2 linked regions of the Alligator mississippiensis genome follow. The protein of the gene in region 1 interacts with the protein of each later gene in a pairwise test. Links are inferred from orthologs where the notes say so. Each region holds a gene or a part of one and is shown in the gene's direction. Other genes may lie near its edges. The genes, in order: RGL2 and RAP1B.

What was found.
Region 2: the proteins of RGL2 (region 1) and RAP1B interact in a two-hybrid assay, tested with the Homo sapiens proteins (2 studies listed by BioGRID and IntAct). The link is inferred for Alligator mississippiensis from reciprocal best matches to the Homo sapiens genes RGL2 and RAP1B.

What each region holds. Positions count from the first base shown.
Region 1 is NC_081834.1:64,826,500-64,830,402, reverse strand, and holds the start of RGL2 (ral guanine nucleotide dissociation stimulator-like 2), read left to right. Parts: upstream 1-1,284; 5' UTR 1,285-1,399; intron 1,400-1,505; 5' UTR 1,506-1,562; coding exon 1,563-1,679; intron 1,680-1,754; exon of another isoform or gene 1,755-2,054; coding exon of another isoform or gene 2,055-2,150; intron 2,151-2,224; coding exon 2,225-2,290; intron 2,291-2,377; coding exon 2,378-2,568; intron 2,569-2,645; coding exon 2,646-2,708; intron 2,709-2,790; coding exon 2,791-2,963; intron 2,964-3,084; coding exon 3,085-3,197; intron 3,198-3,305; coding exon 3,306-3,521; intron 3,522-3,903. Other genes in the region: TAPBP (tapasin), read left to right, coding at 235-246. UniProt on the Homo sapiens protein: Probable guanine nucleotide exchange factor. Putative effector of Ras and/or Rap. Associates with the GTP-bound form of Rap 1A and H-Ras in vitro.
Region 2 is NC_081827.1:69,300,143-69,304,045, forward strand, and holds the start of RAP1B (ras-related protein Rap-1b), read left to right. Parts: upstream 1-1,608; 5' UTR 1,609-1,767; intron 1,768-3,903. UniProt on the Homo sapiens protein: GTP-binding protein that possesses intrinsic GTPase activity. Contributes to the polarizing activity of KRIT1 and CDH5 in the establishment and maintenance of correct endothelial cell polarity and vascular lumen.

The sequences.
Region 1 (3,903 bases):
CCCAGTGTCCTCCCTGCAGGCAGGAGGACAGGGTGCATCTTTGAGACTAACTCAGCGGTGGTCAGGTCGAGGGTCTAGAAGCTGGAGAAAAGGGGGATGGGGTGGCAGCGGGGTCAACAGAGACCAACCCAGTGCTTCAGGTACTTTGTGCACCCCTGAGTGAGGTAGTCAGTCTGCAAGGGACACCCAGCCCGGCCCTGCTGGACTCTAGCTGACAGCTCTTTCTCCCCATAGAAGTCAGAGTGAAGCCGGAGTGGAGCCGCCCAAGGAGATCAAGGAGGGAGTTGTGGCCTCTGAGGCCCCCTGGGATGCAACTGTGAACCCAAAGATGAAGGCTGGGAGGGGGGCTGGCAAGGTTAAGAAAGGTCTGATTCTCCAGATGGCCCTGGTACACCTGTTGACACCCTCCAAACCCCTACCAGGACCCTCCTGTGCCCCGTGCCATTACTTCTGCACTCCCACTCCCCTCCCCTCTGCAGCTGGAAACCCCCTTCTCCTTTTTGAGACCCACCCCCCAATCCCCTAGCTCCCCCCACCCGGCCTATACTCCCCCTGCTCCCCCTTCCCTTGCCCCTGGTGGGAGTGGGGCTTTATACTACTGTATGGAAGCAGGAGGCTGAGGCCTTCCAGTGTGTAAATAAAGGCATTTGCTGTGACTCCCCCAACCAGGCCTCTTCTTCATTTTCCAAGTCCCCATGGAGTCCCCACACCCCCAACCTGCTGGGCTGAGGAGCAAGGGGCTTCTGGTGCTTCCAGCCCTGGAGCCATAGGGATAGGGTGCTGCATGCACATGCATATACAGGTGTGTGCATACATATGCATGCACATACTTGCATGGATAGACAGGTGCTGGTATGCAGGTTTGTACATGAGTGTGTAGGTACATGCCTGTGCAGATGTGTGCATCCAGGTGCAGGCATGTGCAAGTAGAGTAGCATGCATGTGCAGGTGCATGGATGTAGGCACATACCTGTGCATGCAGGTACATGCTTGGGCAGGTGTGTGCATGCAAGTGCGTGAGTGTGCCCATCTGAGTATGCGTGTACAGGTGCATGCATGCAGGTACATAAGTGTACACATACGTACGCACACGTGCAGATGTGTGCACAGACGAAAGCGCACGCGCGTGCATGTGTGTGTGTGTGTGTGTGTGTGTGTGTGTGCATGCAAGTGCACGAGTGTGCCTCTGCGTGTGCGGAAGGCGCCGCGCAGGGCCGGAAGCCGAGCCATTGTGCAGCTTCCTGCCCCGAGGCGGCGGGGCCGAGCCGGGCCGGGCGGGGCTGCGGGAAGCCCCGGCGCTGGAGCCCGCGGACTGGCCGAGGCCGCTCCGCTCCGCTCCGGCCCCGCCTGCCCGCCCGCCCGCCCAGACCCGACCCGACCCGACCGCCGCGGGACCCAGGTGCCCTCGGGACTGGAAGCTCCCGGGGCGGGTAGGGGGCAGGGGGCTCCCGGGGTGCCCGTGGCGCGCGGCGGGGCAGGCACTGATCTCTGCTCCTCTGCCGCAGGCCGGGCCCTGCCCTGCCCATGCCGGGCACCCCGGGGTGCTGAGCGCCCGCTCCCCCATGCTCTCGCGCTCGCGGCGCCTCCTGCTGGACGGGGCGGACGCGCCGGGGGGCCGCGCGCCGGGCGTGGTGCTCAGCGGCTACCGGAGCTGCCCCGACCCCTGCCACCTGCCCCAGGTGAGCGGGAGGGGCGCGGCGCGGGGCGGGGCGAGGCGGGGCGGGGGCGGGCCCGGGCCCGAAGGCGGAAGCACCGGGGAGAGAGAAGCCAGGGCGCTCCGGGCCGACAGCCAGGGACCGACGGGGCCTGGAGGACGTGGAGCCAGGCCGGACCCGGCAGGGCCAGGGCCAGGGCCGGCCCAGCTGCCCTGGCAGGAGCAGGGGGACAGGGGCCCCCGCCCCTCCCAGCTCAGGTTCCCGCAGCTCCAGGCCTGTCCCAGGCTAGTGGCAGGCACGGGAGCCAGGCAAGGGCCCTCCCTCGGCCCTGTCAGTCCCCGGAGCCCCGTGCACAGCGAGCTGGAGTGGAGGGATGGCCTGTAGGGACCCCTGGGCGCCATGAAGCTGTTCCTGCGGCTAGGTGGCTGCCTGGACCCAGGGGGGCAGGAGGGGCCCCCACTGTCCCGCACACGCTGGTACTGCCTGCCTGCCAAGGTGAGCCAGGAGTGGGGCTGGGGGTAGCTGGGAGACAGGGGGGCCCTAAGTGACCCTGTTGCCCCCTCCTACAGGCCCCAGTGACGCTGACAGAGGCAGCAGAGGATGGTGCCATCTACATGGTGGCCACGCGCCCAGCGGTGAGTGCCAGGGGACCCACTACAGGGGTGCCCCCGTCTTGAAGGGGTGGGTTTGAGGCTGGTTCTGACACTCTTTTCCCCCCTCAGACCCCCGCAGCAGTGGGGAGCCCCGGGGGGGGGCAGCCAGCCCGCTCCCTGAAAGCAGGGACTCTGCCCCGGCTGGCGCAGCACCTGCTGGAGGCTCAGACCCTGGGCGACACTGCCTACGTCCCAGCCTTCCTGGCCACCCACCGTGCCTTCACCCGCCCCATCGATGTCTTGCAGCTGCTGCTCGACAGGTACCAGAGGGAGCTGGTGGAGCAAGGGGCCTCCAGGCAGCTACCCCCACGTTCACTGACCCCTATTTCTCCCCCAGGCTGGAGGAGGTCAGGGCACTGGAGCCAGGACCCCCCACCCCAGATGTAACCGAGGTGCGGCGGTGAGTGACCCCCCTCAAATGTCTGTCTGTGAATCCCTCTGCCCCCACCATCCCCTGCCTGATGTCTGTGCTGCCCCAACAGGGCCTTCGCGTCAGTGCTGTACTCCTGGCTGGAGGGGTACCCCGAGGACTTCAGGGGGGTGCTGGAGCCTGGCCTGTGGGAACGGCTGTCCCGGAGCCTGCAGGTGGCGGCGGGCAAGGGCTCAGAGACAGAGCAACAACTACAGGAGCTTCTGGGGGCCCCTGCCCACACACGTGAGAGGGACTCAGGGGGAAGCAGTACTTGGGGAGTGGAGTTAAGCTTGTGAAGTCTGAGCTGTGTGGGGGGGATAAGGGGCTTGTCGCTCTAATGCTGGATTCCTGCCCCCCCAAGCAGAGCCAGAGGGCGAGGGGGAGGATGAGGAAGAGGCAGAAGAGGACGCCAATCCCTTGGATTTCCTGGGCTTCCAAGCAGAGCAGGTGGCTGCCCAGCTGACCCTACTGGAGGCGGTAAGCAACGGGGTGGGGATACCGGCCGCAGACCCCAACTTACCTCTGTCCTGTTTGGGAGCAGGGCGGGAGGTAGATCCCTCTGATCTCCTTCGCTTGCCCCTGCAGGACCTGTTTGTGCGCGTGGTGCCCTATGAGTGCCTGGGCTCGTTGTGGTCACGCCGGGGCCGCCGGGGACAAGAGGGTGCCTGCCCCAGCGTCCGTGCCACCGTGCGCCAGTTCAACCGCGTGGCGGGCGCTGTTGTCCGCTCCTGCCTGGGGCCTGCCAACCTGCGCCCACTACAGCGTGCCCGCCTGCTGGAGAAATGGATCCGTGTAGCTGAGGTCAGCCCCTGACTCCACTGCCAGCCCCATAACCCCTAACCTGTACCTTAACAGTGCACCCCCCTGTTCCAGAAGTGAATCTGCATTGCCGAGTTCAGCCCTTAACCCTGGAGCCAGACCTGTAACCCTAAACCCTGACCCTGCAGCCAGGCTTGCAATTCTGACCCCAATCCTGTAACACTGCACCCACCTGCTTAAGTGGATCCGGGTCGCTGAGTTCATCCCCTAACCCTCGTGCCAGGTCCATGACCCCTGACCCCCACACCATAGCACTGCACGCACCTGCTTGGGAAGTGGATTTGCACCGCCAAGGTCAGCCCCTGACTTCATTGCGAGCCCTCTGACCCCCAACCCCAAATCTCACTGCCAGCTTCATGACCCC
Region 2 (3,903 bases), on another chromosome or scaffold:
TCATAATAGAAGCTAATTTGTAACCTTAACTATAGCCATTGCTACCTTTTTGCTGCGATTAGCAGTACTTCTATCAGCACTAAGTACTGCATTTATTATTTGTGATTAGTTCACGCAGGAAAGCTGTGGATGTTTTTTAAGAGAAGGCACAGGAAATGTATTTCAGTGTTCTCTTTTAATCTATTGGATGTTTGAGGGAGCTGATGGAAATTACACAAACAGGAATAAAAGTATGCTAAAACACAAATATTCTTATTTTAAGAGTAAATAATACAAAACTAATAGTCCCAAGAAACACAAGAGTATCATTTTACTTAAAATATCTCCTTGTAAATATATCTAGTTAAGCAACCAATATCTCCCAGATGAATGATTTTTACCCTGAAAAGTGGACCAGAAGGGAGCAACTGCCTATGTACTTAATTTCTCCCTGCCTGAGTCCCCTTTAATGATCTGCCATTTATAGGGATTCATTATCCAAGTGCTGTACACGGGATTAGCCATAAAAGACCGAGAAGAAATCTTATGACACTTTGTGGAGTTTTGGTGCAAGGGCCTAAGGAAAACTATTTTTAGAAGTAAAAAGAACTTGGTGACCTGAATGTAGATAGGACACGTAATGTGGACTTAGTCACTCTGCTGACTACTTTAGCCACTTCTTCTCTACGTTTATTCTACGTTGTATGGACTCCAAGCACTACAGCAAGTAATGCGCCACTACCATGCATTTGGAGGGAAATGTAATCTTTTTTTCCCCCCTTCTCTATCTCTGCGCTACAAACAGAAAGTGTGTGCTTCCTCCACACCCACTCCCTCTGCCAGCAGCGCCATTGCAACTTCCTGTCAGTTTCTCACTGTGGCAGACTTCCTCTGAATAAGTGTTATCTGCCATGGCATATTAACTGTTTGCTCGCTACTGAGCATTTCCCAGAAGAGCTGTCTTCTTTATTTTTAACACTTACTCTTCCAACCCATTCTGATCTGGAGAGAAAAGGAGCCCTGGTGACTTTTGGGAAAAAAAAGGCATCTTCTATTATTTAATAGAAAATGAACGTATGTGGAGCAGGGAGAAGAGCCAAGACACGTTGCCGTTCTTTCCACATTAATAGATCCCCTGTGGATTTCGGTGGAGGCTGACCCTAGTTGTCAGGAGGCTTAGTAATGCAAGCAAAGAGCAATAGCGTTGTGTGGTTTCTGCTGCCATGTGGGCGAGCATCTGAGGTGCTTGAGAATCAGGGGCCTCGCACTTGTTTTTCTTACGCACGTTTCACAGGTTTTTGAGTCATAGAAGAGGCTCACATCCGTGGCTAGCAGGGGCGACCCGGTTACAGAGCAATGCTGCGGGTGTAGAATGAGGCCTTCCACCCAGGCCAGGCCAGGTCTCTGCCAGTGGGGTTCAGGACACGGGGGCACTTGCACCCATTGGGTGAGGGCCGGTCCCGCTGTCTGCAACCCTGACAGGCGATAGGGGAAGCTCTCCCGCCCGCTAGAACTAGGCGGCCGCAACACCGCCACCCCGCTGAGGGGAGGGCGCCGCGACAGCCTGCGCCTGCGCAGTGTGAGCCGGGGGTAGAGAGGTCACCCCCGCCCCCCGCGCGCTTCCTGCCCCGCCCCCAGGCCGCGCCGGGGACGCCAGAGCGAGGCTAGGCGTGTGGCGTCACGGCGGCGGCCTCGAGCCTCGCCCAGCAGCGGCAGCGAGTACGCGCGGGAGTGGCGCGTCCGGCCGGAGGCCACACGGGCAGCGGCAGCGGCGGTGCCGGCCGGTAGGTAGGCAGGCGGGGAGCGGGACCGGGACCGGGGCCGAGGGGGCCGCGATGGTAGGGGGGCAAGTGCGGGAACATGGCGGAGGCGGCCCCGGCCCGGCCCGGCGCCGCCGCCGCCCAAGTTGTAGCGGAAGCGGAAAGTTGCGAGGCGGCGGCGGGGCGGGGTCGGGCGGCGGCGCCCCGGCAGCCCGCGGCCCCGCCTAGGCTGGGCGCCCCTCCGCGGGGAGGGGCCCGCAGCTCCCTCCCGGCCGCGGGGTCCTGCCCAAGTTGCCGCGGGGTCTCCGCTCCCCCGTGCGCTATTGTGTGCGGAGCTGCGCCGAGCGGTGCCCTGCGGAGGGTCCCCCCGTCTCCCCTCCCCCCAGTCGCCTTCGCAGCCCGGATGTCGGGGGCAGCACGTCGGAGAGTCGTCGGGGCCTGAACAGACCCTGGCTCCGGAGCCCCCGCCGCGCCCCAGTGGAATAAGCCCCGGGCTGTGTTTAGGGCGTGTTAGGCTCTTGGCCAGCTCGAAGGGGGTGGCGGGCCACGAAACCTCTACCGATCTGCTGTGTATCGCCCTTTCCTGCAAGCTGTCCCTTTAAAGAAATAACGTCCGGGTCCAAAGGAAAACGCTTAAGCGTTTGTCATAGATATTGTCTGGTTCAGGCAGCTCTAACAATCTGGGTTGGGTTGTTTCTACAAAGTTTGCTTAAGTAAACCATAGAGGAATCATAAGTTGGGCTGGAACGGACCTACAGAGGTCATCATCTAGTCCAGCTTTTCTCAACTGGTAGGTCACGACCCAAAAGTGGGTCAGAAGAATATATGAAATGGTCACAAACAAACTTTAAAAACAGATTCTCCTTTAAAGGAGGAAAGTGTGGGAAACCATGCGTTTTCCCTTGCTGGCTGGCAGAGCTCCTGCCTGCAAGAGGCTGCTTGGGGCCCCCCACAGGCCCTACACAGCTACCCTTGGTTCCGCACGCTGGGGGCGGAAGGCACTCAGTTGAGACTGGCTATTGATGTTTGCAAATGGATCCTGGTCCAAAAAAGGATGACAATCACTGATCTAGGCCAAAATGTGATTGTACAGAACACCAGTCTCTTCTAGAGGAATTTTGCTGCCTTAAAGGTCTGGTTTCAGTTCCAACATGCATCAGCTCCACTTTCAAATGTTTTAGCAGTGAACTAGTGGACGGGGTGCTTTCCCAAGCTTTTTTTTTTTTTATAACGTAGGTTCACCTAAATATTTCTGTTCCAAAAAAAGATATTGGAAACTCATTTCTTAGTTATAACAAGAAATGTCCTGTAACAGAGATGCCCTAATTAAGTGTTGCTAACCTACTTGATGCATGTACTGTACAACAAATACTTGGATACAAGGCTGACACAGTTCCTTGTTATACTAGGTCATACTTCGAGGCTGCAAAGGGTTTTTCTACCCTTCAGTAAACTTCACAGTAATGGTTTCCTTAATTGTGCAATGGCTTCATGACTGACTTATGCCTTTGTTAAATGGAACCAGTGGAAGAAGTTAATTCAGGGTGCTTTTAAGTGCTTTTATCTACTTTGTTCAGGATTCTGGTTCCTTATTTCTCCTTTCACTGGGAAGAGTCTACAGTATAAAATGTATTCTTCCTTCTGGCTAGAACTGAGATTGCTAACTGATCAGTAAAATGCACCCTGGCTGCTGCTGTAACTGCTGGGTAGCAAAAACTTTGGCAGTGATATTGGCTGTTTGGTTAAAGCAGTTCATCTTCTCTAGGTTCCTGCCTATTGCAGGGACATGCCATCTAACGGTGTTAGGAGATTTCTGGAGGCTATAGACAGCCACGAGTCTTGAACTTAAGTTGTAATAGATACTGTAAGTATTCAAGCCTTGCTTGCATAATACCTCTTGCAATAAAATTGATCATGCTTAGGACTACTTGATCAGCCCTTCCCTCCTTACCCTACTCCTAGTAAAGACTAACTCAGCAATAATTTTTGACCTGTTACTTACAGGCTAGAACTATGCTATCAGTTCACTATTGCTAACTTGGAAAAAGTGTATTTCTGTCTTCAAGAATAAACCTGGAGTTTGCTTAGCAGTTTTCCTGGCTTCCCACTATTTTACATAGTCAGTCAGTCAGTCAGTCAGTCTCTCTTCCCCCCTTAAAAAGGC